Linked DNA regions of Kluyveromyces lactis. The protein of the gene in region 1 binds, or shares a complex with, the protein of each later gene. Links are inferred from orthologs where the notes say so. Each region holds a gene or a part of one and is shown on either strand. Other genes may lie near its edges. The genes, in order: RRP45, RRP46, RRP4, SKI6 and RRP42.

What was found.
Region 2: the proteins of RRP45 (region 1) and RRP46 are in contact, whole or in part, in a crystal structure (PDB 5OKZ), measured with the Saccharomyces cerevisiae proteins. The link is inferred for Kluyveromyces lactis from reciprocal best matches to the Saccharomyces cerevisiae genes RRP45 and RRP46. Residues at the interface, in NP_010566.1 of Saccharomyces cerevisiae: Lys3, Asn53, Lys55, His57, Arg59, Ser61, Ser80, Glu82, Ile83, Ser84, Pro85, Met86, Ala87, Gly88, Ser89, Glu92, Asn93, Arg135, Asp137, His139, Leu141, Asp142, Cys143, Asp144, Leu225; in NP_011609.2 of Saccharomyces cerevisiae: Ile9, Leu10, Asp11, His12, Val13, Ile27, Cys28, Ser29, Thr31, Ile34, Glu35, Lys37, Glu49, Ile51, Arg53, Pro54, Ala55, Lys56, Gly57, Val58, Ala59, Leu87, Gln89, Thr91, Cys92, Gln93, Leu95, Glu96.
Region 3: RRP45 (region 1) and RRP4 share a complex: the UniProt entries of both Saccharomyces cerevisiae proteins name them as parts of the RNA exosome complex. The link is inferred for Kluyveromyces lactis from reciprocal best matches to the Saccharomyces cerevisiae genes RRP45 and RRP4.
Region 4: the proteins of RRP45 (region 1) and SKI6 are in contact, whole or in part, in a crystal structure (PDB 5OKZ), measured with the Saccharomyces cerevisiae proteins. The link is inferred for Kluyveromyces lactis from reciprocal best matches to the Saccharomyces cerevisiae genes RRP45 and SKI6. Residues at the interface, in NP_010566.1 of Saccharomyces cerevisiae: Thr97, Glu99, Asp100, Val102, Leu103, Ser105, Arg106, Glu109, Lys110, Arg114, Ser115, His191, Thr206, Glu207, Asn209, Ile210, Lys211, Asn215, Glu217, Asp232, Leu239, Arg243, Glu244, Val245, Val246, Gln247, Val248, Ser249, Lys250, Ala251; in NP_011711.3 of Saccharomyces cerevisiae: Arg95, Arg96, Leu98, Glu99, Thr102, Ser103, Val105, Arg106, Met107, Lys110, Phe155, Asp156, Val190, Glu194, Lys195, Leu196, Ser197, Leu198, Leu199, Leu200, Val201, Glu202, Asp203, Lys204, Ile205, Pro206, Leu207, Asp208, Leu210, Glu211.
Region 5: RRP45 (region 1) and RRP42 share a complex: the UniProt entries of both Saccharomyces cerevisiae proteins name them as parts of the RNA exosome complex. The link is inferred for Kluyveromyces lactis from reciprocal best matches to the Saccharomyces cerevisiae genes RRP45 and RRP42.

The regions. Positions count from the first base shown.
Region 1 is NC_006039.1:951,447-957,886, reverse strand, and holds RRP45 (exosome non-catalytic core subunit RRP45), read right to left. Parts: upstream 3,831-6,440; coding exon 2,913-3,830; downstream 1-2,912. Other genes in the region: MRX10 (Mrx10p), read left to right, coding at 1-466; KLLA0_C11143g (HAD family hydrolase), read right to left, coding at 607-1,413; KLLA0_C11121g (uncharacterized protein), read left to right, coding at 2,311-2,688; RNH202 (Rnh202p), read right to left, coding at 4,172-5,185; DDE1 (Dde1p), read left to right, coding at 5,594-6,440. UniProt on the Saccharomyces cerevisiae protein: Non-catalytic component of the RNA exosome complex which has 3'->5' exoribonuclease activity and participates in a multitude of cellular RNA processing and degradation events.
Region 2 is NC_006040.1:1,264,643-1,270,879, forward strand, and holds RRP46 (exosome non-catalytic core subunit RRP46), read right to left. Parts: upstream 2,788-6,237; coding exon 2,110-2,787; downstream 1-2,109. Other genes in the region: VAS1 (valine--tRNA ligase), read left to right, coding at 1-1,956; thiamine transporter TPC1, read left to right, coding at 3,161-4,114; PIS1 (CDP-diacylglycerol--inositol 3-phosphatidyltransferase), read left to right, coding at 4,483-5,160; ALE2 (Ale2p), read left to right, coding at 5,518-6,237. UniProt on the Saccharomyces cerevisiae protein: Non-catalytic component of the RNA exosome complex which has 3'->5' exoribonuclease activity and participates in a multitude of cellular RNA processing and degradation events.
Region 3 is NC_006041.1:1,127,026-1,133,883, forward strand, and holds RRP4 (exosome non-catalytic core subunit RRP4), read right to left. Parts: upstream 4,674-6,858; coding exon 3,360-4,673; downstream 1-3,359. Other genes in the region: IPK1 (inositol pentakisphosphate 2-kinase), read right to left, coding at 1-172; DYS1 (deoxyhypusine synthase), read left to right, coding at 472-1,611; OMS1 (putative RNA methyltransferase), read left to right, coding at 1,922-3,262; TRM5 (tRNA (guanine) methyltransferase), read left to right, coding at 4,702-6,210. UniProt on the Saccharomyces cerevisiae protein: Non-catalytic component of the RNA exosome complex which has 3'->5' exoribonuclease activity and participates in a multitude of cellular RNA processing and degradation events.
Region 4 is NC_006040.1:810,147-816,290, reverse strand, and holds SKI6 (exosome non-catalytic core subunit SKI6), read left to right. Parts: upstream 1-1,780; coding exon 1,781-2,518; downstream 2,519-6,144. Other genes in the region: GPI14 (glycosylphosphatidylinositol-alpha 1,4 mannosyltransferase I), read left to right, coding at 254-1,462; FYV8 (Fyv8p), read right to left, coding at 2,595-5,057; divalent metal ion transporter SMF2, read right to left, coding at 5,421-6,144. UniProt on the Saccharomyces cerevisiae protein: Non-catalytic component of the RNA exosome complex which has 3'->5' exoribonuclease activity and participates in a multitude of cellular RNA processing and degradation events.
Region 5 is NC_006041.1:821,941-828,141, reverse strand, and holds RRP42 (exosome non-catalytic core subunit RRP42), read left to right. Parts: upstream 1-3,003; coding exon 3,004-3,798; downstream 3,799-6,201. Other genes in the region: TMA17 (Tma17p), read left to right, coding at 625-1,107; RRT6 (Rrt6p), read left to right, coding at 1,836-2,609; TRM3 (tRNA (guanosine(18)-2'-O)-methyltransferase), read right to left, coding at 3,854-6,201. UniProt on the Saccharomyces cerevisiae protein: Non-catalytic component of the RNA exosome complex which has 3'->5' exoribonuclease activity and participates in a multitude of cellular RNA processing and degradation events.

The DNA.
Region 1 (6,440 bases):
ATTAGCTGTACTTGAAGTTGCCTTGGATGCGCATATAGAAAAGACAAGAGAGTTCACGGAGTCTTTATCCCGAGGTAAGAAATTGAATATCAGTGAAAAAGCTGTGTTACAATCCACTGGAAGGTTGTTTTTGATGAGAGGTAAATTAAACCTTTATAGCGAGTTGATTGAAACTCCGGATTTATATTGGAGCGAACCGCAATTAGAGAAGCTTTATCGCCAGATATCAAGAAACTTGGATATTCAACCTCGTATAAGTATTCTCAACACTAAGCTTGATTACGCCACTGACGAAGCAAGGGCACTGATGGCTGTTTTGAATGAAAAGAAGGGCACCAGGCTAGAATGGATCATTATCTATTTGATCACAGTGGAAGTATGCTTTGAGCTCTACCACTTTTACGAAAAGTATCAAGAATTAGTAGCCGATGCTGAAAACAAGACAAAGGCCGAAAATCATTACTAAAGGTAACAAACATTTTTTTAATACTTATAGATATTTACTCATGTATATACTTATCAAATTGAAGGCAGACAATTTCCATATTTGAGAGGATATGTCATACCATGTTTCATTGAGTGAGGCTGACGTGTGCCTTTTTTTTTTTATTCGTTATCATTATCATCATCGTCATCATCGTCATCATCGTCATCACCATATTCTGCTTCTTCACCTCTAGGTATTGGATCAGTGATGGTTAGAACAGTCTCATCTTTATTATTGGACTGCAAGCAAACTTGTGATAAATCTTCAACCACATAATCCGCGCCCGCTGCAAATAATAACTCCTTATCATAAGTACTGGTTAAGGCAACTACAATTGAGCCATTGGCCTTACCAGCTTGAACTCCAACAGGCGCATCCTCGAAAACCACCGTTCTTACCTCCTTTCTGTCATCTTGCCATATTTCCTTCAAACGTTTAGTGGCCAGAGCGAAACCGGCTGGGTCAGGTTTACCCTTTGAAACATCAAAAGCAGTAATGAATACCTCTGGTTTCTTAATGGATTTTAACAAGTTGTCAAACCATGCATGAGCAACCCAAGGCGATCCACTGGTAACTACAGCCCACTTTCTATGATGGAAAACTTCACCAGGGTGTGCCCCAGTTGGTCTATCCAACGAGATCAGTAAATCTATAGAACCTGGAATCAAACAAACGATATCCATGTAATCATTGGCAATAGAAAGTTCAAATTCCTTGACTGCCTGATTATTAGTGTTGTCAACGTTAGGAAAGAACTTCGCTAAGATCTCCGCAGTTCTGGAACCATGTGAGACCTTAGAAAGTGTTGAATAATCAACACCATACTTGTCACAGAGCTTATTCCAAGCCTCTTCAGCCGCATCGGTGGAACTCACCAATGTGCCATCTAAGTCGAAAAGAACGTAGTCAACAGCAATAGAAGGCATTATTACAGAGATTTGCTTGTTCAACTGTTTACGAAGGATATTATATGTGTCAAATTGATACAATTTACTTCTCTTTTAAGCACCCTACTAATGAAATTAAGGAACCCTGCTGACATATGTTGACCATTAGAATAGGAGAAGAGGAATGTATATCTGGATACATACTTGATATTTATACTAATGGAGAAGAATCCACCTTTGAAATGGGGGGAGACGTGTCAACTTTAAAAGCCAACTGAATTCTGCCCTGTGCCCTTTCTCCAGGTATTAGCTTACCCTAAGCATGAACAGCTTGTTGCTTTTTACAATCAAACCACGTTATACGGAAATAAAATAACTATAACAACAAAATTTGTTAAGGACATTGGAACGGCGGGGAAACTTCCCTGCCAATTAGCTAAGGCTCAAGCTCATCATCCATTTAATGGTTATTCCCCCAATTTTAGCAGATAGACGTCTCTTCCATATTTTGGGTTTTGTTAGTGCAGAGATATCAAATTTAGTAGCCTTGAAAAGTCCCTCTGACTTGACAAGACATGACATCCCTAACAGGTTTGGCCAGAGACTACTTTTCAATATATACTAGGTTATGATCGAATTGATAGGTATTCGCAACTTGCCCCTATTCATTGCAGTAAAAGTCATACATCAGTCCGTTTCAACTTGTTTTCTCGTTTCTTTAAGAACAATATATTCTATATCACCGACCTCTGTCATGTGTCACAATAAATCGATAAATTATTAAATTCAGGTAAGTAGAACCCGATGTGAAAAGTACATACCAACTAATACCAGATTGTATTAACTCTTCCTGATCACTGGAGTTGAATTTCCAAACACTCAAGGCTTTATTCGAATTGATGGATTTTGGGACATATTTGTGGTGAATTGATTATAATGTCACATTTATGGGATCAACGGAATAATCCAATATTGTACATATGCGGCTACTACATTCTATTTGTTGTTGTTAGTATCGTGCTATTATTCATAATATACTGTACAGTAACATACTGGGCTAATTCGAAGAACATTTTGGCGGCAGAAGAGCGGTACTTGAATTCTGCACCAGAGACACAAATTTCTATTGACAAACACATGATGATGTTGGATGAACGAGATTTGTATCCCGAACTTAATTCACGAAACGGATTCGAATTTGAAAAGAACGACTTGAACAGATATCCAAATTTAATACATATTGTAAAGTTTAACGCTCGGGAAGAATCAGTGACTTCCTCAACAGAAAGAGACATGACCAGACTTTATATTTGATTCACTATCGCTAAGATATTCACAGCATACACTCTCATATATCCACCAAACAGATACATTATTTGTATATTCATACATACAACATATAGTACAGAACAATATCAAACGCGCTGAACGGCATGGATTAAACGACTTCTAGCTGCCAAGTGTCTTGGGATATGGTACAACCATAAGCATTAATCTATAATTGAAGAAAAGCTTCCAGTTCTTCGATACAATGCTCCTTAAGTTTCACGAGCATTTTCAGAGCTCAAAATGTGTGCGTATTGGTTTCTTGCAATGGTATCTTGTTTCACAACACGATGAATTTGATCAGTGATTTTTTCTACAATTCCGTATGCTTTATGACAACAATCAATCAACGACAAAGCTTCCATCGGCAAACCACCTGCTTTGGAGATTTGAACAACTTCTCTGTTTTTATTAAGCGTCACAGTAAGCACACCATCTCTCAATAGCTCCTCTTTTAAGGAAGCATCGATGATTGATATTTCTGCATTGTCCTCACCTTTGATATTTTCTTCTGTATCGTCTGGATTGAAGAATGAAAACGTCACACAAATTGGAACATGCAAAACACCTAGTGACACAGGTTCTCTTTCATCAATCGGATGTACCGTCACTCTTTCACCAAGAACAGTAACGTCGGGCTTCTTAAAATGAAGTAACCCAGCCATTACAGCAATGCAACTGGCATCGATTAGTCCACCATCACAATCTAAAAAGTGAACATCAGCTCTAAGAGACCAACATTTGGAGCCAGCTATTATGCATAAACCTTCTACATCTAATGCTCCTGATCGTCTTACAGCTTTCTCAATCATCCTACTGATCAATACCTCTTCTTCTCCAGTATTGTTCCCATTCTCAAACTGAGCACCTGCCATCGGTGTAGTTTCGGTACTTATATGGAAAAGTCCTTCAAACGGTCTATCTTCATAAGGTTGTGCAATTTCACAGCTGATACGACAGTGTACCTTTGTGTTACCCATGGTAACAGTCACATCACCGTATGCTTCACCTATTTCGATCTTCACATCTCTGAATTGGTCATATGAACGTCCATCTAATCTTTGTTTAAGCTTTAACGCTTCCAGGATAAATTTGGATTCAGCATTACTGATCTCTATATCTTTTGCCATCACCTCTTATCGATTTAACTATTTTGATATGCGAATGCAAGCTCTCTTCGGCTATGGTTTTCTCTTTCAGTGCTGCTCATCGCAACTCTTTAACTTTTCAAGTGTTATAGTTCTAAATCTTTCATAAGCTTTGTCTCATTTGATATGATAGAAAGATGAAAAAGGAATAAAAACAAAATTGATGCGAGTTTCTCTAGGAGGAAGACCCTGTAGACAGGTATTAAGTGGAAGAAGATCAATTATTTTAGAGCTCAACAACGGCATGTTATGTGAAGCTTTAGGTCAAAATGATAGAGGTTATCCAATACTGATATTTCTACGAAATTATTATATGCCCTTACTTATGTTTTGTTAGTTTTGAAGAATCCGTCAATTCTTCCTTTACCCTTAGCAACCTTTGGTTTCACAACTTTAGCCTTTTGAATAGGTTGTTTCTTTACGGTTTTTGTGCCATTTGGAATGGCTGTAGACATAGCAGCTTTGATAAGGAGCTCTCTTTCCCTTTCTGTTTGTAATGTTTCGTTCTTGTACTTGTCGTATGAGTCGAAACATTGTTTGATGTTAAGATTTGAAGATTCATGTCTAATTAGATCCTGGTATGCGAGTTGTGGGATCAAGGAAACTAGAAGATTACACGACATTATGCATTTCAGAGATGATGCTATATCTTCAGGTAGCGATTTTGGTATTTTAAGAGAAGTAGGGAAGTTGTTGTTGATTTTGATGACTTTCTTCAGTAGCCATTCTACTATCATTTGAGGTTCGATACGATAATACTTGTCACCAGCTTCTTCCACTGTATGTGATATTTTCCCGAGACAACTTTCCCATAATTTTGGAGGTATCTTCTCCCAATTTTCACTGTGATTATTCGTTAATTTCTCTTGGTAATCAGAACTAGTATAAAAGTTAGTATCCATATCGAGTGCGGGTGGAACGCAAGGTGTAATAAACGCTAGATCCTCACTAGTAACTTTGTTGTTCCTATAATAATACCCACATATATTAAAAGTTAAGTCATATTTTTCGGCATATAGTATCGAACCATCTTCTAGTATGTGTCCATCTTTCCTGTTCTCTTCATTGATCAAAAATGTGGATTTAAATGTTTGCGAATCTGAAGTATAATGATATTTATCATTCACTAAATCTCGCGAGCAATTATAGTCACAGCCTTTACTGAACTTTTTGATTTTAAGCTGGTATACTTTATCGTCGTGTACAAACAGTTTGATAGGTTTCTTTGATTCGTTATTCGATGGATGTGGAAGTTCAAATATTTCGACAGGAGAATCCACTGAATTTGGCAAAGCTACCAATAGACATCCTTTCCTTATTACCTTCTCAACAGTCATATTCACTAAGGAAATGTAGCTGGGGATTGTTGTTTGATCGTTAATTAGGATAGTTAACAATGCTTTTTACGCGTTTCGTTCACGTTAAATGTTGTAAATGTCAGTGGAATATACCAAGTATTGGATGAATGTACGCAATTGTGTGCTGCGGCTGTCGTTCTGAATCTATTGCACACTTAATACAGCGAACAGCTACAAAAAGGAAGGGGCATGTAATTTGCTTTGTTATGAGATTTCACTTTTGTTTAACTGACAATTCTTCCTCGTTTATGGATCTGAAATATTATATATATATATATACACTGATTCATATCGGAACTTGAAATTACTGAAGAAGTTTACGCAAAGTAAAATGCACGGCGCGTAATTACATAAAATAACAGCTGTTGGTAAACTCACTCCCAAAAGATGGTGGACTGGATCACCTTCTCAAAATACTTGGTTGCTATCTTGGTAATCGTCGCTAGTACTGTTTGGTTTATCAATTCGGTTATTATTGACTCCAAAAGAGATCTACATACAATTTCGCTGAACGCACAATCAAATGTTGAGTCCGTAAGAAAGGAACATGAAACTGCTATTTACAGAAACCTATTAGTCCCAGCTTCTTTTCCATTGACTACAGGTTTAAACCTAAGCTTAGGATATAGGCTCAGGAATGGTAATTTTGGTGATTTATGGTCTGCAATTATGACAAATGGCAAGTCGACTGTATTGCAATTCCATACCGAAGAAACTACCCTTACAAGAATAAATGGTATAGCAAAACGAATTGTGGTTAAAGTTGAAAGTATAGGTGCTAAGAAGATTGGAATAGCTACGTCAATTGACTCATCAATGGGATTTTCAGTCGGCGTTGCCGGCTTAATGCTGTCGTTGAAAGATTGTATACCTTGGTTTTTACATTCGATTCCGCGAAACGATTTGGAAGTGGACATCATATTTATCAATGACTGGGAATCAGTTAAGTACCTTAATGGTAGTGAAAAGTGGTACCAATGGATTATTGTATGTGATCGGTCTATTAAACATAGGAATGATTATCAAAATAATGTCATCTCATTGAAAGATTTTATAGGAGAGGTGACAGATGACCCGGAGTTCAAATATGACCCAAAAGACTCTGGAGATGATGCCAAAATTTTGGCGTATATTTCGAATTTATTTGGAGGTACCACCAGCTTTACTCAAATGTGTCTTGTCAGTAGTGTGTCGTCATTTATCAAAAGTTTCCCATTGGGACATTCGCTAGGTG
Region 2 (6,237 bases), on another chromosome or scaffold:
CTGGAAGTTATCAACACCTTCACCGATGATGGTCTATTGAACGAAAACTGTGGTCCTGAATGGGAGGGCACTAGGAGATTCGACGCTAGAAAGTTAGTTATCGAAAAGTTAAAGGAAAAGGGTTTGTTCGTTGGTCAAAAAGACAACGAAATGACTATTCCAACATGTTCGAGATCTGGTGATATCATTGAACCATTATTGAAGCCTCAATGGTGGGTCTCGCAAAAGCAAATGGCTGAAGAAGCCATCAAAGTTGTTAGAAACGGTGAAATTACCATCACACCAAAGTCTTCGGAATCTGAATATTTCCATTGGTTAGAAAACATTCAAGATTGGTGTATCTCTAGACAACTATGGTGGGGTCACCGTTGTCCTGTTTACTTCGTGAACATTGAAGGTGAAGAAAACGACCGTAACGATAACTCATTCTGGGTGTCAGGTAGAAACTTGGAAGAAGCCGAAGCTAAGGCAGCCACTAAATTTGCTGATAAGAAGTACACTTTGGAACAAGACGAAGATGTTTTGGACACCTGGTTCTCATCTGGTCTATACCCATTCTCCACTTTAGGATGGCCAGATAAGACTCCAGATATGAGCCAATTCTACCCAGCTTCCATGTTGGAAACTGGTTGGGACATTCTTTTCTTCTGGGTTTCCAGAATGATCTTGTTAGGTCTAAAGTTGACCGGCTCTATTCCATTCAAGGAAGTATTCTGTCACTCTTTAGTTCGTGATGCTCAGGGTCGTAAGATGTCTAAGTCCTTGGGTAACGTTGTTGACCCATTGGATGTTATCTCTGGTATCAAGCTAGAGGATCTACATGCTAAATTGTTGCAAGGTAACTTAGATCCAAGAGAAGTCGAGAAGGCAAAGAATGGTCAAAAGGAATCTTACCCACACGGTATCCCAGAATGTGGTACTGATGCTTTGAGATTTGCTCTTTGTGCATACACCACTGGTGGTCGTGACATTAACTTGGATATTCTCCGTGTTGAAGGTTACAGAAAGTTCTGTAACAAGATCTACCAAGCTACCAAGTTTGCTTTGTTGAGATTGGGAGATGACTATAAACCACCAGCTTCTGAAGCTCTTTCTGGCAATGAATCCTTAGTTGAAAAATGGATCTTGCACGAATTGACTGAAACTGCCAAGAATGTCAACGAAGCATTTGAAAAGCGTGACTTCTTGAACTCCACCTCAGCCATCTATGAATTCTGGTATTTGGTCTGTGATGTTTACATTGAGAACTCCAAGTACTTGATTCAAGAAGGTACAGAAGTTCAACAAAAGTCTGCTAAGGATACCTTATATATCTTGATCGACAATGCATTGAAAATGATCCATCCATTCATGCCTTTCATCTCTGAAGAAATGTGGCAACATCTACCAAGATACGCCAGCGAAACTTCTCCAACTATCGTTAAGAGCTCATACCCAACTTTCAAGGAAGAATTCCACAATCCAAGCGCTGCTAAGGAATACGAGCTAATCTTAAACGTCACAAAGGATGCTCGTTCCTTGTTGGCACAATATAACATCTTGAAAAACGGTAAGGTGTTTGTTGAATCTGCTAATGAATCATACTACTCCACTGTCCAATCTCAAAAAGATTCTATCGTCTCTTTGATTAAGGCAATCGATGAAGTTTCCGTTGTGAAATCTGCTGCTGATATCCCACAAGGTTGTGTGCTACAATCTGTCAACCCAGAAGTTAACGTGCATGTGCTTGTGAAGGGTCACGTCGATATCGATGCAGAAATCTCCAAGGTCCAAAAGAAGCTAGACAAGACTTTGAAGTCTAAATCTGCCATTGATAAGATTGTCAACAGCAGCGATTATGAACAAAAGGCCAATGACCAAGTGAAGCAATTCAACAAAGAAAGATCAGAGCACGCTGCCGCTGAAATCGAAACCTTGGAAGCTACCATCGCTAACTTGGAAGCATTGAAGTTGTAGAATTGTTTTGTTATTTGTCCAATAGATTAGATTACTCTCTCTGCCGCTGCTAATGCGAATTATATAAATGCAAATATATATAAATTGTATATAAAGATGATAACGTTAATTATAAAGTTAATTTATAAAGAACCATGGGTGCAGGTATACCCACTACTGTCTCCAGACGAAATCTTTGGCGACTTTATCCTTGATCACTGATCTCAACTCTGTGTATAACCGTATACACTCTTTCTCACCTGTTTCTAACACTTTAAACAACTGTGACTCGTCAAAGCTGCCTAAACTATCAAGAAGAAGCAGGTTCCTGACATCTATATCCCCGTTCTCATTCGTGCCCAGCTCTAGACAGTATACGTGGACCGATTCACATTTAGCTAGCTGCGATTCTGTTGGGTTCACCACCAGCTGCTTCCCTTCAGTGGTAATACCAATACAAGTACCAGAACACATACTGAGTAACGGTACACCAGCATCCACCAATGCGAGCACCGCTGCGTTAACACATACACTGACTTCTTTCACAGTATAATCCCTGCTTTCTCCCGCTTCTAATACTTGGAGACATATCTGCACAAATTGACGTGGATGCAAGTATCTCGCAAGCACTGGGGTCAACACAGAACGGATCTGATCTTCCATTAACTTTTCCCTCGTACTCTGTACGCCTTCAGCAGGCTTCACGATGATCTCTAATGCAAGTTGTGTGGGCAACTCTTGCCTAGACTTAGGTTCCATGGGTCCCGAAACAGAACAGATAACTTTAGTTCCGCTGTTTGAAACAACAGAAGAGCCATCAACATGGCCCAAAACATGCGTCGTAGTCTCCATCTTGGCTAGAAAATTACTATAGGTACAATATAACAATCAATACGCAGTCGGTATAGACGGTAATGAGCCACTACAGTCCCTCTTTCCCCATCTTTTGAATGTTATGTCAGGATGAGATGAGATGAGCTTCAAATTCAGAAATTTTTCACTTTTAGGATACGCAATGAATAGATATGAAACTAAGAGGTTGGAGATGCAATGCAATTGATGTGCCAGAGACCCTTTTAGCAGGGCATGTATGTGGTAATTTATAAATAAGGAGATTGTGTGTAGGTCTGGCTTCATTTAAGTTCTGAGAAGGGAGCGAGAGACCAGCATTCAGTGAATCTTCAATCCATCAAGAGAGAGGGATTTATTTAATGACGAAGAGAGAATGAACACTGGCATAAGGAAAGACCATCTCAGGAAAGGTGAAACGGTATCATGGTACAATTCAGTGATTGCTGGTTCTGTTTCTGGGGTATTTGCTAGGATGGCAACTGCACCAATGGATACTGTAAAAATACGATATCAGTTACAACCGGTACAAGAGGACAAATATAAGGGAATTGCATCTACTGTGAGAACTATAATGAAAGAAGAAGGACTTCGAGCGTTATGGAAAGGAAACATCCCGGCGACGGCGATGTACGTTGTTTACGGTGCAGTACAATTCGGATCTTACTCGTGGTTCAACAACGTTTGGTCTGCGAAGTTCCCTCGGTTTTCACAGCAGGGACAAACGCTAACGGTCGGAGCGTTGGCAGGAATGACTAGTTCAGTGGTATCTTACCCGCTAGATTTGCTTCGGACAAGACTTATAGCAAACAGAACGAGCCATCGGACCAGTGTCGCAGAGGAGTGCCGACAAATGTGGCTCAATGAAGGTGTACGAGGTTTTTTCACTGGAATATCCACTGCGATGACAACGGTTACTTTATCCACGGCTATCATGTTTCTCACATATGAGACCGTGAATATAGTCTGTGAAAACCACGAGAAAGAATTCTGGTCGCGACCTGTAAGTGCTAGTTCAGGGATCATCGCAGGGTTTGTATCCAAGACGATGGTGTTCCCCATTGACACTTTACGTCGCAGAATGCAAGTGATGAACTCTAAGAGAACAGTTCATTTCACCAAATTCCCTGCTGTTTACCACGAGTACAGGTATAAATCATCCACTGCAATTATTTACAAGATACTAAGACAGGAGGGTGTATCAGCGTTGTACCGAGGACTTACAATGGGACTATGTAAATCTGTTCCAACGACAGCAATCAGTCTTTTCGTGTATGAACGCACAATGGATCTCTTTGATCACGGACAGCGCTGGGGGAGATCTCCATAGGACAACTGTGGATATATCTCATACCAACGGAGGATGTTACAGAGAGCGTGTTTACCTCCAGTATATAGTTGATGTAGAGGAATATCCTACTGTGTATAAGTCACGTGATCAATATCAGAATCATTTAATGATAACTTCCAAACGAATCAAAGCAACTTACCGATGGCTGATGCAAAAGAGAAAAAGAGACGACAAAACCAGTCGGTACGGCGCCACTTCTAGCTGCAATTGACGCGTAGGATCTAAGTACAAGTGGTAATTCTTATTTTTGGTGTTACTATTGCGAAGTTGTGCAGATTGTTTCTGGAAACTACTTAAATTAAGAGCCTCGACGAGTTAACAAGAATAATCTCGTGAAATAGTTTCAAATGTCCGCTGTCACCGCTAGAGATGTGCTATGGTACATCCCAAACCAGATAGGGTATGTGCGTGTGGTGACGATGTGTTTATCGTTGGTTTTGATGGCCAAGCATCCGTTGTGGACGATGGTAGTGTATGGAGTGTCTTGTTTGTTAGATGCACTAGATGGGACAATGGCACGTAAGTACGGCCAGATCAGTTCATTCGGTGCTGTGCTGGATATGGTGACAGATAGATCCACCACCACAGCATTGATCTGTTTCCTATGCGTGGCATATCCGGTATGGTCGCCCGTGTTCCAACTACTAGTTGCCTTGGACATTTCAAGCCACTATATCCACATGTACGCAACGCTAAGCACAGGGTCTCAATCGCACAAGGCCATCGAAAAGGAACAATGGCTTCTCAACTTATACTACACGAGACGTAAGGTGCTATTCACGATTTGTGCGTTGAACGAAATGTTCTACATGGGTCTATATATCAACGCCTTCCCTCAGTTCAAATCGTATTACTTCCCATTGCTTGGATCCACCCATATCGGAGCTATCATCGCGCTGGTGTGTCTTCCAGGGTACATATTCAAGCAGATTGCCAACGTCGTTCAACTAAACCGTGCTGCGTTGATGCTTGCCAATAAGGACGCAGCAGAAGCCACTGAGAGAAGAAGTGCAAAGAAGAACTAAGAGTTCCTCCCCATTTATAACTACCGAATAGAATTTACCGATATATATATATATATATATAAATACATCAATGAACTAGAAATCTAGTACTCTGAAAGTGCATGCCACCTAACGCCAGAATGTACGGTCCATAGCTTGCGTACTTTACCATATATCATCTTTGTCTCATCTCGTATTTTATGATGGCATCTCTCGAGCAGCTTTATGGAACAAATTACTGTAAATCCACATTCACCACTTCAAACGGAACTAGATCAGAAGGAGAAAAAAAGGCTTTGTGCTACTACGGATAGACCAGCAGCTGTGGTACTGTTTCCCTCGAGGTTGAGAGTTTTGTTGCCTGTTCAATAACCAAAGATGAGTAGTTCTTTGTTTAGCAGCGTCGTTCCAGCAGCTGTTTCCGAACAGATAGATCTGTTCACGACCTATGTGATGTCCTTACCTCCGCACCCTCATTTGACCGAGTACGTGATCCCATATCTCGAATCCAATGGATGGATTACTTCGAATGTGATTCTATCCAATTTACACACTGTGTTGTACATTGCCGTCGGGTATCATGCGCTATTCCTGTTATCTCAACGGGTCTTATTCCCACCTCTAGCTTCTTATAGGTTATCCTGGGATCCGGAGACTACGAAAGACCAACGTAAGTCTAAGGAAAAGCAGCATGCAGACCTTGTCAACCAGAGTGCCGTTCGTCTGGTGAGTTGGATCCAATCTCTGATCGTGCTTTATCTCAGTTTCGAGGCCATTGCATATAACAATGAAAAACCAGATCTAAACTCTCACGATCGTATCTTTGGCATGGACCCATATAACGTGAAGGTATGCGTTTTCGCAATTGGGTACTTCCTATGGGATATCTACATTTCATTGGTCTACTCTACCCTCCCATTCGTGCTGCACGGTTTGATCTCTACGGTGGTTTATGCTATTGGTTTAAAACCTTACATCAACTACTACGCAGGTATTTTCCTGATGTTCGAGCTATCCAATCCATTCTTGAATATCAGATGGTTCGGGATCAAGTACTTGCCACAACTGACCAAAGACTGTCAGACTGTCATGGCCAAG
Region 3 (6,858 bases), on another chromosome or scaffold:
CATCGGCCAACATAGGAAGTGACCTGATCTTGGAATCGATAAACTGGAAGTTGTCCTGCACATATGCATTGTTCCTGGAAAGTTTCTGGTGCCTTAAGCTGATACGGTACACTTCACCAGAAAGGAGATAGCAAACATTAGCATTGCCTCTACCAACGAACAATAGAGTCATACCATAGTTTCACACAAAGAACCAAGGCAAACCCAAAAAGTAGGTCATGTGTTTAATCGTGGTGCAGCATCGTTTCTTTGACTTGTCATCTCGTCACCAGATTAGAGATTTATAAAACTAAAAGGCTTTACCTTTTAGGAATTTTTCACTTCTCACCGCATGAACTTTACAACTGTAAGAACAAGACGGTATTAACTCTGATCTATAACCTGATTCACCACATTATACTTAGGCGATTGGAGCTTCATTGTTCAGAAAGAAGTGCTCTACCAACTTACCTACTAACTTACAACGAAAAGATGTCCAACATTGACGGTAAATTACCTGACATCTTAAGCGATGCTGTGTTGAAGCAATCTGTTCCAGTGCCTGATAATTTTGTTAAGGTCGAAGGTATTGATTACAGCAAACCAGAATCACGCAACATGCGTTCTAAGGATTTAATTAAATCGATGGCTACTATGGGCTTCCAGGCGTCTTCTTTGGGAAAAGCCTGCGATATTATCGATGAGATGAGATCCTGGAGAGGTGAACATCGTGACAAGTTGGAAGAACATGACCGCAAGGGTTCTTTTGACAATGATGGGTACCAAAAGACTACTATCTTTATGGGTTACACTTCGAATTTGATTTCTTCTGGCTTGCGTGAGACTTTACGTTTCTTGGTTCAGAATAAGATGGTCGATGCCATTGTTGCAACTGCAGGCGGTGTTGAAGAAGATATCATCAAGTGTTTGGCTGACACTTACCTTGGTGAGTTTTCTTTACCTGGTAAAGGGTTACGTGACCAAGGTATGAACCGTATTGGTAATTTGCTGGTTCCTAACGACAACTATTGTAAGTTTGAAGAATGGATCGTTCCAATCTTGGACAAGATGCTTGAAGAACAAGAAAACTACGTCGAATCTCAGGGTAAAGACTGTTTGGATAGCAACTTCGATCAAGACTCTCCGGTATGGACTCCTTCCAAGTTGATCCGTAGGTTAGGTAAAGAGATCAACGATGAATCCAGTGTTCTATACTGGGCTTATAAGAACGATATCCCAATCTTTTGTCCTGCTGTCACCGATGGTTCCATTGGTGATATGTTGTTTTTCCATACCTTCAAGGCATCTCCTAAACAGTTGAGACTAGATATTGTTTCTGATATTCGTAAGATTAACTCTATGTCTATGGAAGCATCACGGGCAGGTATGATTATCCTTGGTGGTGGGTTAATCAAACATCACATCGCAAACGCATGTTTGATGAGAAACGGTGCAGATTACGCTGTTTATATCAACACGGGTCAAGAATTTGACGGTTCTGATGCTGGTGCAAGACCAGATGAGGCTGTTTCCTGGGGTAAGATTAAAGCAGACGCTAAGTCCGTTAAGGTCTATGCAGATGCCACTGTCGTTTTCCCATTAGTCGTCGCTGCCACTTTTGCTAGCGAATAGAACACTTTATAAAAACAATAGATATCTGTATATATTCATAACCTCGAGTCTGAGCCAACTGCATGAGAATTCATTGTTGTCAGTGGTGTTGGATTGGGTCAACACCACTTGGTTATTAAGACATTCACTCAACCCAATTGTACCACGTGATATTCTAAATTTTTCAAGATCGATTCAACCTCGAAACCGTCTCATCTCGCTCTCTCTTTATCTTGAGTTAACGCAAAAGAACCGACAAAACAGCCTTCCGATATGGTCTTCTGGTCTGTTTTAACAGGGTCTCAAGAATCACCTGTGATCTGTTTCACTAATGTTTGCTGTCAGACGCAATTTCTTGCGGGGGCCATTGAGAGTAACGCAATGTGGGCCAAGCTTAGGTTCGGGATATAAGGTTCTTGATCTTGTACGCTGCAAAAGTACATACATACCTTCTCCAGATTCCGTTTACAAGAAGCCTAAATCAAAGGAGCAGATTGCTAGGGAGAAGCATGAAGCGGATTTGAAATCTGACAACTGGATTATTAGGTACGGGGCCATTGCAAGGTCCGAGAAGTTTTCGAAAGCTTTAACGAAATACATTCTTGCCGCATATGTGGTGTTCATTCTATATGGGTTAAACTATACCAAGAAGCTTTATAAGAAGGACAAGGAGTTAGAAGATATTAGTGCAAAGATTGATATGGGAGTAGCAAATGAATATGAGTTGTTGCGCTATAAGGAACTAAAAAATACGTTAAGAACAAGAGATGTGGAGAAATTGAAACAATACCAAAAGATTATAGAGAAAGATGGGACTGAGAATTTGGATAAGATTACCTTGGAAAACAACGATCAAAACAAGATTAACGAGAAAATTCTACCTGCTAGGGATACCACTGATTTCTATGAAATGAAGGCAGAAGAGTACGATGAGGGTGTGAGTTTTGAAGAAATGATGATCAGAATGGGTAAAAGACGTAAGTGGCTCATGAAACATTGTAAAGGAGATGTTCTCGAAGTCGCTTGTGGTACTGGTAGGAATATCAAATATTTAGACCCAACGAAGATCAACTCAATCACATTCTTGGATGCATCGGAAAAGATGATGGAAATCACAAATAAAAAATTCAGAGAAGCACTACCCAATTTCAAGAAATGTGCATTTGTTGTAGGGAAAGCGGAAGATTTGATCGACTTGAACTCGAAGGAGACACCTGTTAAGTATGATACTATTGTTGAAGCGTTTGGTCTTTGTTCACATCACGATCCTGTAAAATCTTTGAAGAATTTTGCTGAATTGTTGAAACCTGGCGGTAGAATCATTCTCTTGGAACACGGAAGAGGTTCATACGATACAATCAACAAAATTCTTGACGATAGAGCTGAGAAACGTTTAAAGACATGGGGTTGTAGATGGAACTTGGATATCGGAGAAATCCTTGACGATTCTGGATTGGATGTCGTCGAAGAAAGAAGAACACATTTCGGTACGACATGGTGTATTGTTGCCAAGCGTAAAGGTGACGGTAAGAAGAAAGAAGAAATTGGCTTCTTTGAAAAGTATCTTGGTGCTAGTGTTAAGAGCAGAATTGAATCTTTCACAAACGATGGAAAGAAGCAAGACTCGCTACAAGCTACCCATAATAAACCAACATCTGAGACATCCAAATGATGGTACTCTTATCGAAAAGATTTTATTATTTGTAAATATTATGCACTTTATTTATAAAATACTACTTCATGTAAATATTAATATTACCGATTACAACCTATGCTGCTCCCCTCATCTTCTCTGAGTTGATGACGTCTTGACCTAAGGACTCCATCGTCTCCGATTCAATTAACTGTCCCAAGTTACCATAAGCCATTGAAGCCTCATATGCGGATATTATTCTTGGCTCAGTGATACCGAGTTCGCAATGTGCTAACGCCTTAATTACGTTTGCATATCTTGTGATTGTTTGCCTAACGCTTACAGTAACAGTATCATTTTTATCCGAATATATTTCCCAAGAACTCTCTTCTTCCAATCTTGTAATGGAAACCGACATTGCATTGTTGGATCCTGGTAAATGGTCAGATTGTCCTGAACCTGTAGTAGTGGTCTTACCGGAAAGATCCATCTTGGAGGATTTCCTTATCCATACGAACCCATTTACACCCAAGATAATGGTGACATTCCCTGGAAGATTATGTGTATGATTTTTAGATCTCACTATTAGGGAACTTGGGACTTGAACAAACGTACCATTCCTTAGTTTCCCATATTTCAACGATCTGGTATGTAATGAAGCTGAACCGTCTTGGAACAACGATTGGACTTCAGCGTTTAGTAGATCACCTTCTTTCAAGAAGTTTCTCATTTGCAACTCATCTGTCTCTGACTTACGTCTCAATACACCACCTGGTAAATTAACAGAACCCAACATCAAAACCGCATACTGTTTGGCTCCAATATCCACTTTCCACCTTCTATTACCAACATCAGTGATTCTACCCACGATGTGGTCACCTGTTTCGGGAATATAACGAGATTTTAATGGTAAAACGGATAGCAATCTATTCACTCTCGATACTGTGCCAACCACAGAACTGTATGTCTTGTTTTCCAAGAAATAAGTACCATGACCCTTCATCCATATAGGATCATCGGTTATTAATTCACCAGGTGTGACAATAGACCCATCCTGATGGTCTATTCCACCATTGGAATCGTGAGCACCGCTCATCTCAATGTCATGTTCTTGCTCTGAACCTGAGCTGGAATCTGATTCATATTCATCCTGTTCTAAACGGCCATTAGACCAAAATTCGTTCCTATTGATAACACTAATAACATCACTCATTGTTCCAAGTAATGATATAACGATGTCAGGGACTGCAGAAGGCGTTCGATGTGCTGACTTCCTCGCTGTACCTTTGTTACTTTTGGTGTTAGTTAACTGAAAATTTTCCAAATTAAATAAGAGAGCGATGAGATGAGATGAGATGAGCGTTGTAAAAGATGTAAAAATGTTGCAGCAAAGATCGACCGTCAGGCAGCGTTTTATTTGGTGAAGTGATAGCACACTATTTTGCTCCATTTTTCAAGGATAGAGGAGGACTAGTTTTATGAGGTTTGGCCTAGTGCTTCGAAGAACAATGAGTAGAGCTATTGAAACTACGTTCAAATATGAACCACCAGTGCATCGTGGCATGAAACAATTAGATAAATCATTATTCGTAAAGAAGCTTCCTGTTGTTGTATTGCTATTGAAGAATCCAAAGAATATTTCTGTCTTCACCAAGAAGTTCAAGGACGATATATTAAGGACACCAAGAATTCCATTCGTTATAAGACTTGGCGAAACACCAAAAGAAGATACTGATAAGAACGATGTCGAGCCAGTACAGAAGAAAAGCAAATCCCTGGCCAATGACAACCATATAACCAAAGGTATCATACTAAAAGACAGTATACAAGATGTTTCGCAGGCGAGAGGGAAGTTGACCTCCAATGCACTAGAATTTCTTGATGAGCAAGAGTATGAGTTGAGAAACCATGAGTATGTGCTAGATTATGACTTCTGGAAAGTGGAAGAGATTCTAAATGCAATTTTACCAGAGGAGTACCTTGCTGAGATTCCTACTGGGTTCACTATTGTGGGACACGTAGCTCATTTGAATTTAAGGAAAGAGTTCAAACCGTTTGGTGAAATAATTGGACAAGTCATCTTGGACAAGAATTCGACGATCAAGACCGTGGTCGATAAAGTGGATTCCATTGCTACCAAATTCAGAACTTTCGAAATGAACGTCCTAGCGGGTGAACCGAACCTGCTAGTGACTCAAAGGGAATCTGATTGTTCATTCACTTTCGATTTCAGTAAAGTGTACTGGAACTCAAGACTACATACAGAACATGCAAGGTTAGTGAGTCTATTCAAACCGGGCCAAATAGTTGGTGATGTGTTTGCTGGGGTGGGGCCATTCTCAGTTCCAGCAGGAAAGAAGAAGGTCATCGTTCTAAGTAACGATTTGAACCCAGAATCTTACAAGTACATGCAGCAAAATATCATCGACAATAAGGTGGGTAACTTCGTTGAACCATTGAACCTCGATGGCCGCGAATTCATCAGAGATAGTCCCAAGCTACTACAACAATTCATCGAAAGGGTACAGGGAGTCATCACGGTGCCAGGAGGTAAGAAGTACAAGGATAAAGTCACGGGAGAAACTAAACGTACTCCTGAAACCAAGATCCCAATCAAAAACCAGTTCTTCGATCACTACGTGATGAACTTACCTGACAGTGCTCTTCAATTCCTTGATGAATTCGTCGGATTATATTCAAGGTACGGGTTCACATACGAACAGATGGTTCAAGAACACGGCGAACAGTTCCAAACCCCATGGATCCATTGTCATTGTTTCCATAAATACGATGCGGAAGAACAACCAGAACCATCCATGGAACAACTACACGAAAGGGTCTACCAACAAATACTACAAATAATGAAGACCACTGAGCAAGAGCTTCCGTTCAACCAGTTCCAGTTCCACTTAGTGAGAAAAGTCGCTCCAACGAAACCAATGTTCTGTGTTAGTTTCCAACTACCACAGTCACTAGCCTTTATCTAACTATCTTGATACATAATTGCAATGTAAATAGAATGCAACATACCAGTGACTCTCATGATTGCAGAAAACAGTCACCAAAACAAGTCACTGGCCCAGTGTCCCTCAGTCCATCTCTTTTATCATCCGTTTGTCTTTACTCTGTCCACGTGACCAGATGTTGCCATCTGTGAGTCATTTCCATGTCTCGCCCTCGAGGCAACAGAAATTGAAAGATGCAGCCTTCAGAATGACTAACCTTCTCTTGGGAAAGCAACGAGACAGGGAGTGGACGTTCGGTTACTCATTCCTTTGGTATTTCAGGGTTACGGAGCAAGGTCTGTACACTGTGGCTGGTTAAGAGTTGGCAGTTATAAGTTTTGGGATTCTACTGATCACTTTTTTCTGTGCGTCATCCGTTCTCTGTTATCACTCTCGAGGGTTTTGTCCAAGTTTGAGATACATATATAAGAAGGCATTTAGTGTCCATTATCGAGGTCTTCTAGCAGTCAGATTATACTACTATTGAAGCGGTTTTCTATCTCTCAGATAAAGTATCAGCAAAGAGATCTTCAAGGATTCTCTGTTGAAATACGGCAAAGATACACTTGTCCTTCACAAACAAAACAGATACAAAACAGATACAAAAGTGACATAGACTTGACGGTTTAC
Region 4 (6,144 bases), on another chromosome or scaffold:
ACTTTCAAACCAACTGCGCTCCTTGACGATTTAGGTGTTCTCTTCATCGGTTTCCCATCTTACTTATAATCATCTTTGATTCTCCGAGAAACCTTTAAGTGACTTTATATTTAAATTGTACTTTTTCAACATAATGCCATGATTTTGGCATTACATACCAACCTTGGGGAACCACATTTCGAACAATAAAATCATATCTGAAGATCATAACGACTGCTTGCTTGCTTGAAGCCCGCCATTTTACTAACAGGAAATGCATAGAAAAGTAATCTTATTATTAACAGTCTCTTTACTACTTCGAATTGGATTCTTTTCTTACGGTATTTTCCAAGACTCGCATTTTGACGTTAAATATACTGATATCGATTACTTTGTCTTTCATGATGCAGCTGGTTACGTTAACAATGGACAATCCCCTTATTTGCGTGATACATACAGGTACACACCTTTATTGAGCTTCTTGTTACTACCCAATTATTATCTAAAGTGGATTCATATGGGGAAAGTCTTCTTTGTTTTATTTGATCTCATTACAGGTGTGATGATCATAAAACTATTACAAGGTTCATGTCAATTGACAAAACAGCTAATTCTAGCTTCTATTTGGTTATTGAACCCGATTGTTATAACGATAAGTACTCGAGGAAACGCTGAATCGGTTTTATGTTTTTTGATCATATGTGCTTTATACTTTTTGAAAAGAGACAGGTTACTTATTTCAGGACTTTTCTATGGGTTATCGATTCATTTCAAGATCTATCCGATAATCTATGCGCTACCGATCGGAATATATCTCTTGTTGTCGAGTCACAATAGAAACTGCATTTGGCGATTGTTCATGATAGGGATATCGACGCTAATCGGCATAACTGCGCCGACGTATTTCATGTACAAGCTTTACGGGAGCGAATTTATCGAACACTCGTACATGTACCATCTCACGAGAACAGACCACAGACACAATTTTTCGATTTGGAACCTGGTCTTACTCTTAGAATCTGCTGGTATTCATCTTTCCCAATCTATCGAACTATCTAAGCTGGCATTCGTTCCTCAATTGACACTATGTGCAGTACTACCTTATCTATTGTGGAAATCACAGACGTTCGAAAATTTAATGAATGTCCTATTCGTACAAACATACGCATTCGTTACTTTCAATAAAGTATGCACTTCTCAATATTTCATTTGGTATTTGGTATTATCCCCATTTTATTTCGCAAATACAACCATTACATGGAGAAAAGGTGTGGTCTGTATATTTTTATGGATATTGTCTCAAGCCGTATGGCTTTCACAAGCATATCTACTTGAATTCAAAGGCCAAAATGTATTTTTCCCCAACTTATTCTTTGGCAATATAGTGTTTTTCCTCATCAACGTCTATCTACTCGGTGTCTTTATCACTGACATCAAATCCAGAACGTCATTCCAAGACAATCAACATAAGAAGAATATATAATTTTAACTTAGCATATACTGTAGCGTACTGTGACATTTTCAAAGCCACGATCGAAGTCCTGACGAGTATTTTGATGTTCCATTCCGTTCATCCAATTTCATATCCGTTGTCAGATTCACTCGCTGCTGTTTTCTTCATACTGATTATTGAAATAGAATTTGAAAAAAAAAAAGTATTCAAGTTTTGAATCTTACAAGTGAAATATGAGCTCATCGACATCTACTAGAAGAAGTACATTCAAAGCAGAGGCTGTCAGATTGAAATTAGCCCCTCCAGCTAGCGTGTAGGAAAACCCACTTTAACTAACAGAGTAACATAATGTCACGTTTTGAAATATATTCTCCAGAGGGATTGCGTGTCGATGGTCGTCGTTGGAATGAGCTAAGAAGTTTCAACTGTTCCATCAACACTCACCCGAATGCTGCAGATGGATCCTCGTACTTGGAACAAGGTAACAATAAGATTATCACATTAGTTGCTGGTCCTCAAGAACCATCCTCGAGGTCACAAGTCAATACGAAACAAGCTACTTTATCCGTTACTATTAACTTAACGAAGTTTGCCAAGATGGAAAGAAGCAAATCAAGCCATAAGAATGAAAGAAGAACCTTAGAATGGCAAGCTTCGTTAGTGCGTACATTTGAAAAGAACTTGATGCTTCATCTCTATCCTCGTACGTCAATTGACGTTCAAGTTCATGCTCTACAGTTAGATGGTGGGATTCTTGGGGCAATGCTTAATGGAATAACATTGGCTCTGATAGATGCTGGTATCGCAATGTATGATTTTGTAAGCGGGGTTTCAGTGGGACTTTATGATACTACACCACTACTAGACCTTAACTCGCTTGAGGAAAATGCAATGAGCAGTGTTACCATAGGCACAATTGGTAAATCAGAAAAATTATCTTTATTAATGGTGGAAGATAAAGTGCCTTTGGATAGACTTGAGAGTGTCATGGCCATCGGAATAGCAGGCACTCACAGAATTAGAGATTTAATGGATAAGGAGCTTAGAAAGCATGGAAAAACAAGAGTTGAAAACTCTTCGAATTGATTTTTAAACCATTAATTATAAACTTCACATAACATGTAAACATAAATGCATTCTACAATTCGGATCTTGCCTTTAACTACAATTTTTTACCTATAGATGAGAATAACCCCTTAGATTTTTCTCTCATGCTGCTAGAAAACATCTTCTTCTTCAAATGTGTAACATTTTGGTTCACCGTATTTGCGACGCTGTTCTTTTTACTCAAAATATCCGCTTGAGCATAAGCATCTTGAACATGTTTATTGACTTTGTAGTCTTTGAAGATAAAATCCTTATCAGATGTGGTAGAAGACTTCAAAGCATATTGGATCCAGCTCTGGAGTCCGGAGTCATATTCTTTTAATTGTTCCTTGTAATTGTTTAATTTTTTTAGTTTTTGGGAGTGAAGCTCATTACTGCTTAAAAGCTTGACCAAGTCTAGATTCGGGACAGTTGACTGGTGAACCACTGATGGAATTTCATCTCCTTCAGAACTGAATGCTTCTTTTAATTTTGATTCACCTTTTGGAGCTTCACCGTTCACGTGTTTGAATATAGTATCGTTACTAGAAACGTAGTCAGTAGATTCATTGGTAATTTGTATGTTCGTAGGGAGAGCCGGAGCAGATGCATTATTGGCAATCAGAGCAGGAACGTTATATATGGTTTGATTGTCATAAATTGTTTTAGTGTCAGCAATCGTCTTGAGGTCGTCATCATCTGATGCAACGTCATGTGGAAAAGCATTAAATTGACTTTCTCCGTCTGATGCTACCGATGAATTGCGTTGAATATTGGATGTTGTGTTTTTGTTCACTTCAACAATTTCCCCGTCCTCATTTACGGTGTATCCTTCGGGAGGATTGTTGATATCGATGGTCTCAGTAACAAAACCAGATCGGAATGCATCGGTGTCTGGTTTCCACTTGCCTAGATTGATTGACTCCCTGGTTGAGAATGCTAATTTCTGTGGGCCGTCTTCCTCGTCTTCAGAGCTGTCAGAATATCCTCCGACGTCATTTTCAGAATTCTGATCTGGAACGTCCGATTGGGTTATAGAGGATTGACTCAATCGTTTCGTTACGCTCTCCGTTATCGAATTAACATCGCTATCAGCTGTCAGTCCATCTGTATCGTTGTTATTCAATGTATGCCTATCTGAATCGTCGATTTCCTTGTCCTCATCAACCATCGCAGCGAAATAGCCACTTTTAGTGACTTCTAAATCTCCATCCTCATCAGTATAATCTATGTCATCATCGCTTGAATCGAGAACAGAGTTCCTGACAGGGTTTCTGAATTTAAAAGATTCTGCAGAATGAACAACATACTGTCCCAGGCTAACTTCGGAAATAGCACGTTCCTTCTCTTCGCCAGAAGACTCTGATGAATACCCGTCGTGATATGACAGGTCTGTTTTGGATGTTTTACGAAGCTTTACAGGCGACGCATTGTCTTTCATCAAACTTGGTTCTGAACCATAACCATTTAGCAGTGAATCAGAATCATTGCTGTCTCCTTCTTTTGAGTGTTGAATAGACAACTGGGATTCTGACGGAAGACTATTAATAGAACTTGGAGGCATCTCTTCTTTATCTTGACTTCCAATTGATTCTGGATGACTGTCTGATTTGGACCAGTTATCTTCATCTACCGCGTCTTTACTGCCTTTGTCATCTGAAATTGCAACATCACCCTGTATTCTAGAAGGAATTTCAGTTGTTGGGTCAATCATTTCGTCTTGCAACTCCACTGATATTTGGCTAGTTTCTACTTCAGAAGCAGCATTCTTGAAAAGTTCTACTTCGGTATCATCTCCTTTAAGGGGTTCTTCCTCTGCACTGACTATCTTGAAAGGTTCCACTTCAACATCAGCTCTTTTAACCGACTCTGCTTCAGAATCATCTCCCTTAAAGGATTCTTCCCCAACATTCACAATCTGGACAGGTTCAACTTCAACCTTAGCTCTCTTAACTGATTCTGCTACAGACTCAACTTCACTAACCGATTCTGCTTTCGCATTATCTGTTTTGTTAATCTCCGTAGCAGATTCAGCTAGCTTGGCCGATTCTATATCACTTTTAACAGATTCTCTGTCATCCGTATCTTCATCGTTTACGTATGCGGCAAAATAGCCAGTCTTCGATACCTTCAATTCTGCATCATCTTCATCCTCTGGATCACTGGTATTGTTAACGTCCTCATCTTTTGCAGTCATCTCTTGAGATATTTGATGCATTAGAGAATCTAGATCATCATTGACAGATTTATTTCCTGATCTTACAGATGTATTCAGAGAGTCAGATCTTAGGCAGGTGCCAATTGATGGATCAGGTGAGCTAGATTTTGCAATGTTGTTAGATTCAGGAATATTTACCTGTGGTAGTTGCGGAATATTATTCGTTAGGCCCTCATCCTCAGAATTAGATGAATAGGCATCCCAATCAGCACCGTCATAGTTTGCCTTTGACGCGCTAACCCATCTCTGGGACTTATGCCTAGTAATGTTATCACTCATTTTCGCGTTATCCTGATAGTGTTGCCTTGCTATGTCGTCCATAAAAGAATCCTCTTGATGTCCTTAACTTTCATTAAAGTGGCTTAAACTTAATCCCAAGGTTTTTGTTTATTATTTAATTTACTTTTCTTAAAAGAATGATCTAAATTGACACGAAGATCACAAGAAATTTACCTTGAAACGCAGATTTGAAAAATAAATGTGTCAGAGACAGGTCAAATCTTTTAAAGTAAGGTACCATGATGGATGATGTATATTAAAACAAATATGGTAAGCTTCCTCGATGAAAATACTGGTGGAGTAATGTTGCCAGTAATAATACGTACAGTATGTGAAATTTGACTAATATTCTATGCATTTATATATATATATCTTTTAATTTTTAGTATGAAAGAAATAATCACTCTACAAATGGACGTCCTGACCGTTAGCAAAAGATATTAGTAAATAGAAATTCAAACCGGAGATGAAGATCCATACAATGACAGCAACAACCGTAGTGAAAATGCTGTTACTGAAATCTTTGTAATGAACAGACTCATCTGATAGAGGTTCAGGGGAATTAATTAGATGAGCGTCCACCTCATCATCAGTATCATGAGCAATAACGGTAGCATCATCTGTGGCTAAGTTACTGGAAGACAAATTCTGTAATGCAAATAAGTTTGACGGTTCTTGAGAACAATCTATAGCCCAAGGAACTCTCATAATGTTTTTATTACTAGTGAAGTAAATCAATGGAGCACTCACAAATGGTAATAGTAACGAGAGAACCACCTGTGAGGCATTGAGAGCCCCTGATAAACCGTTTCTACCGGCCACCAATACTAAAATCAAACATGGTGTTATAGCAACAACACGCGTCAATGCACGCCTTAATGCTGGAGCAACAGTCCAATTTAAGAATCCTTCCGAGACCATTTGTCCACTTAGAGTACACACAATACCTGCAGATTGCCCAGAGAATAGTAAGGCCAAGACAAAAATTGTACCAGCAGTCTTTGAAAGAGTTTCTGATAATAGATTATAGATGGAGAAAAGATCTGCTTCGTGCGCATTGTTTGAAGTTACCCCGTATAGAGTGGCACCAGCTACAATTAGGATCGAACAGTTAACAAATAGGGCAACA
Region 5 (6,201 bases), on another chromosome or scaffold:
TCGCAATGAACTCTCTCTCATATAGAATCTGAATCACATCTTCACTCTGTAACGCCTATGATGAAATTCACCATGCCCGGGTAATATATCCGAAATTGCACCAACCCCTGATTGTGCGTAGTGTATGGGTGGAAGCCAAAACAGCACAATTTTTCTGTTTTATGGGATGAAAAGAATTACATAAGCGGCCCCTAATTCTCGTTGTTTTTGTGTTCCTCGTGAGTTTCTCAACTCTTTGCTGAAAGGGACAAAGTTCAGTTCCCAGAGAAGGACTTAGGCGGGGAAATCCAGCCCAGGAGAAAGGAAAGCAGAAAAGCTGATGTGATTTTTAACAAGTAGTGTTGCTTTGGAGCTGGAAAAAGTCAGCATAGTAACGTGCGCATCATACACTCTGATTTGCAATGATGGTGCCTCGGAGGGGTGGGTGTCATATGTGGGGCGTGATATCTTACCGTTGGGTATAAATAGTAAGAGAATAAACTCTGGCTTAAATTATTGTTATAAAAGGCTAGCTTGAATATATAGTTAAGGATACCGATCTTAATTCATCTCGTACTTTCCAACCGAAACAAGACTAAAAAGTGAAAAAACATACATAGCTAAGGATAGACTTAACATAGAAATATGGCACATTCTTCTGGTATTCGTAGACCAATTCAGATTCAAGAGTTCGTGATTGCTATTAGAGAATCGTCTGAGCATGAATTACAAGAGATCAGAAAAGAGATCAATAATGCAGTGAAGCATTTACAAAGATCTAACAGAAGGTTAGAAGCGTACGTTGCCAAGCTTAAGGGTGAAGAGGTATTGAACAGACAAGAATTGGACGCGGAAGGGAATTTTTCCGATGATGATATTGATGAGAAGGATTTGCAAGTATTCCAAGACTCATTAGCGGAAAATGGAAAAGTATTGGATAATTATAACGAAAGGCTACAAGCTTTGGACCTAGAAGAACAGCACAGGGCTAGCACTGTATCTTCCGGTGACATCCAATCGGCGTCCACAAAATTAAAAAGATCTTTGCAATCTCAAGGCCGGAGAACCGTTGGCGTGGATTCAGATAATACTGCTGATGCCACTGGTTCCAATAGCATTAACTTATGAACCCATTCCAAACAAAATATATATAATGTACTCATATATTGAAGTATAGTAAAAAAAAAATGAATGAAAGCAAAAATGCATGTTTAAAAGTGTGGGCTGGTATGACCTCGGAAAACTGTATACTTTCAGAGATGAATAAACGCACCCGTTCTGGTTTCTTTCTCTTAGTTTCGGGCTGGTAATCTGCTGGGAAAAACCCTGGAATGAATCTGCTACAGACCATTCTTAACATTTAGCTTTTTCTGTTTCCAGCAGGCTGGGCCGTTCTCTGTGGCATTCATTTTCTTCCATCTGTAAACGTCGATGCGAAAAAAGTCTATCAGGTTCACGTTAACATTTCATTTCATTTTGATATGATCGACATATATACTGTGCCATGGCATGAAAATGTTAAGAACACTTTTGGAGAAAAACATACAGAGAGTCGTTTTGACAGCAATTATTCGGTTGGAAAAGTGGGAACTGCCTGGGTTAATGATTGGTCTCCATCTATAAAGCATCAGGTTCAATTCAAATCGAAACAATTCTTTTTTTCCCTTTAAGGTTGTTTCTCAGTGCTTCATACGTGTTGTCAATATCTTTTTGTGTTCTTATTCGGCCAGACAAAATTTTTTTTTTGGGTCTAATCCACAGCTTTCGCTTCAGTAATTAGATTGTGGTCTTTTCGTTTGTTATTATACCCAGTTCATTTCGTTCCAGCTAGTAATTTTTTTGTTCTTTTTGTTTAAATGGTGATATCGTTGATATATGTCCTTTTACTGATATGTTCAGTTGTCTCGGAGACCCTTAAACTGCCGATAAACCCAAATCGATTAGAATTCGATTTGTGGCCATATAAAAAATGGGAAGTTGACGGCTCGAGTGACGCGTCTAGTTATCAAACTTGTTTCGAAATGAATACGAATATTAAGGCCAAGGATTTACAATTCCTCATTGAAATTGAAGAATTTACTAAATGGAAAGTTAATGTGGATAGGTTTGGTCCAACTACGAGTTCAAAGGGAAAACAGGTTGTCAACATGGATATTTATGACGAAGACCAAAATTTGGTACAGTCAAGACATGGTTTAGAGAATGGGGAAACTGTGCTTTACGTGAGCGTATACGAACATCAGAATTTCCAAATATGCCTTATCAACTTTTCATTAGACTCCTCATGGAATGCCATAGATAGTGTGAAGCAAGTAGCAATTAGCATCACGTCTAATGATCTGATTCAGAAACAGAAGTGGGATTTGATTACTGATGATGATCTCAATTTGTTATCCCAGGGTAGAGATGACCTGTTTTCGTTGGTCAGTGCGGATTCTGGCCAGGAATTGCATGCTTTAGATGTCGATCATAGAAATCTCAACGAATCAACGTTCTCTTATCTACTGGCAAAAGTCACAATATTATTCTGCATCATTGGAGTATGTCATTTGCTGGTATTTCCAATCTTACTGTATAGAATCGTTAGCAAAGGGCAACCGACCAAGAACAAAAATAAAATCAAAAGATAAGGAATAATTATGTCCATAAAACAGTTGATGTATTTGTATATATATTAAACATCAGCACCCTGTATCAGTACAACTTCAATATCAGTCAGTCAGCATTCATCGTATGTTAGTACTTCGAACCGTGACTGACACCTGACAGAACATCTCACTAATGGCCAATTATATCCGGGTAACACCGAATATTAATGTGCATTAGCGAAAAGAAGAAATGAAAAATCTGAACTAATTTCAGTATTGACTTATATGAGCTTGAGATGAGATGCAATGAGATGATGAGAAAAGGCTTATTTCCCTTCTATCAACAGCAATAGAAACATCTGAGTTTAAAGCGAGTTATCTTCTCACGAAGCAGACCCATCTCGTTAAAAAAAAAATCAAATAATATAAGAAGATAATGGGACTTTCGTTAACTGAAAAATCGTTCCTATACGATTCTCTAACATTAGATCCCCCATTAAGACCGGATGGAAGAGGTCCACATCAATTTAGACCATTGGAAGTATCTACTGATTTCCTTCCCAATTCTAATGGATCCAGCCGTGTGATATTAAGCGGAGGAAGCGAGTGTATAGTGAGTGTAAAAACTAAAGTCGTGGACCATACGGTAGAACAAGAATTGCTTGTTGCTGATGTCGACATCCAAGGCCACAGAGATGACTCTCCATTGGTTACCAGCATGTCTTCACTATTATCCAAATTGCTCAAACAAACTATTGATCAGAAAAAGCTAATGCTCACGAAAAGGTACAGTTTCAAACTTTACATTGACGTTTTGGTGCTTGCCTCCAAATCATACCCGATCTCAATGATATCTTTCGCCATTTTCAGCGCTTTGAAAAACACATGGCTACCGAAACTAATATCGAACGACGATGACTTAGAAGTGGAGGAGCTACCCACATTCCATGATTACGATATGGTTAAGCTAGAGGCAGATGCTCCTTTATTGTTTACGTTCGCAATTGTAGGAGACGGTGTTTTTGTGGATCCAACTTTTGAAGAGAGCATAGTATCGAACAATGGCCTTCTAATTACGTGGTACAAAGATAAGGTTACTTCTCCGATAAGATCTGTTGGCTTGAATAACGATAATATCAAAGGGTTCAGTCAGCATCATTTAGAACAAGCGTTCAAGTTAATTCGTCAATACGCACCACATATTGAAAAAGCTTTGGATGCTTCAGATTAAGGAACATTTAAATAGTAAATAGGTACTTTTCAGGGTGTTTATTATAAATGCATATCTATAAATGCTGGATCGAGTACGAATGAACGATAACAGCTGTTGCAGTTTGGATATTCATGGATCTTATTACCCCAGATTGTTTGATTTCTAAGCATAAATCCAACTCCTTTAACAAATGCCCTGGAATACCATGAGCTTCTGTTCCTAGTAAAATGACAGATTTTGATGGAAATTTAAATTCAGAATTCAGTTGAATGGAAGAATCAGTCTGCTCCAATCCAATTAACGTATATCCTTCCAACTTCTTTGCATTCATGTAAGATATTATACCATCGACAGGAACTTCTTCAATAGGCATCCAGCGGTCCGCTGTAACCGCAACATTTTTGAATTGAGGATGCTGTTTGACTCTAATATCATGAATTGTCATAGTACCGACACCCAACACGTCACAGAGTCTACAAATACCTCCGAGATTGGGTGCTTTATCCACTAATGAAGCTACGACAATTAATTCAGATCGTGCAACAGACTCAATGGATTTTTGATTATCGAAATCCAAGACAGCTTCCCAAGCACCACTCTTCGTTTGTAGGGGCGAGTTTTTTGCTAACTCAGTTGAATTTACTAGATTACTACTTCTTTTGGTCAACCATAGTTCACTCTCTTCCGATCCTATTTCAAATTCACCGTCATCGATGTTAATGGCTTTGAATATCTTACTATTTATATATGGAACTTTATGATCCATAATTTTCAATAATACGCCGCCAAATATACTTGTTAACTTAAGGTCGTTATTGATGCTCCAAGTGTTTGCGTCACCGGCTCTGAATTGACCTTGTACTTGGATCTTCTTAGCATCGCTGTATAGCTTAGAAATAATGGATCGCAAAATATTATCTTTGATGTCATCTTCAAAGGTTGGCCAAAACAAAAGAATGAGGGAATTAGAGAAATGTCTAATTAATGGTTTGTTTGAGGAGCAATTAGTTATCAGTTGTGCGACAAATCTTTCCATTGGCCTGAAAAAATGACCTGTCTCCTTCGCTGCCTTCAAAGATAAGAATAACAAACGTTCAACACTTGCTTGTAAAACAGGACGAGAGGTGTCTTCTAAAAGTTTGAACAGAAAGTCCTCATTTGGATTTTTATGATTATCTGTCGCTGTAACCCATAGGTCATATGCAATGAACCATTCTGAATAAACTCTTACTAACGGAGACGATTCTTCCACAAGAGAAGGAATGATATAATCAGAACACAAACCTGTTAGAACATCTTTATCGACTGATTTGATCGATAGAAGGCACAGTTGCCATTTTTGTAATCGTTGAATTTCTTCTGGTCCATCAGTTTTTTTCTTCGCTTTTAACATGTTAGGGTCTTCTTGGAGCATCACCTGCAAAAATTGACGTCTAAACTCCTTGCTTGAATATAAAAGAGCTTTAATTATGCGTGATTTCGTAACCACTTCTGTTGCACCATAAACAAACTTGTATAATCCTCCGTCAATATATAAACCAAGCTTGGAATCAAATAGCTTGGCAATTGCAGGTTTTAAATTGTAGATGTTGAGATTCATACTTTCATGAGTGAAAACATCAGATAGCAACCTAGCAAAGTCCGAATATTGCTGGTTTGGTAGTGAACTTCCATACACTTCCATAAACCCTAAGATTTGCTGGCTGAGAACTGGTTTCAATGTTCTCCTCGAAAAAGATTGATCTAAAATGGCAGTTGCGTAATGAAGCATGATCTTGAAAATAGCCTGATCATTGAGGGCAGATAAGAATGTCGTATAATGGAAGATGCCTCTTATGAGAGCCAAATGCAATGGTTGTTGATTGAGTACCAACCTCTCTTCTATTAAAGAATCCCATATTCTGCACTGTAAACCCATTGCACTATTCAAAACATGTTTCTCCATATCAGTAAGCTCATGCAGTGTTGGGAGAATGTAGACATCTAATATTGATTGACAAAGATAGCTGATTTCAAGATTTCCCAAATAATTTCCATTATCCCTTTCGGCATTTTCTTGCAAGAGATCCAATAATGTATTCAGCTGTTCTTCAGTCAGGGGAGATGATTTGATGCAAATTCTTAGCAACTTGAAGAAATTTGCATAAATTTCATCTTTTAGCTTGAAAGGAAGATTGTTTTCTGATCTTATGTACTCCCCAATTATGCGGTATAAATTAAGCAAATTTTCAAAGGATATGGTGATCTGAGAAGGACTTTGCATAACCTTATCAAACAATGATACAAAAAAGTCGAATTTATCAGGTAAAAACTCGGAGAACAAGCTCTTAAAAATTGGCAGAGGATTAATGGCACCGTAGACAGCTGGCGTAAACTGTGGTAGGTCCAAAATGACTTTAGCTTCCTTGTAGTTATTACTTT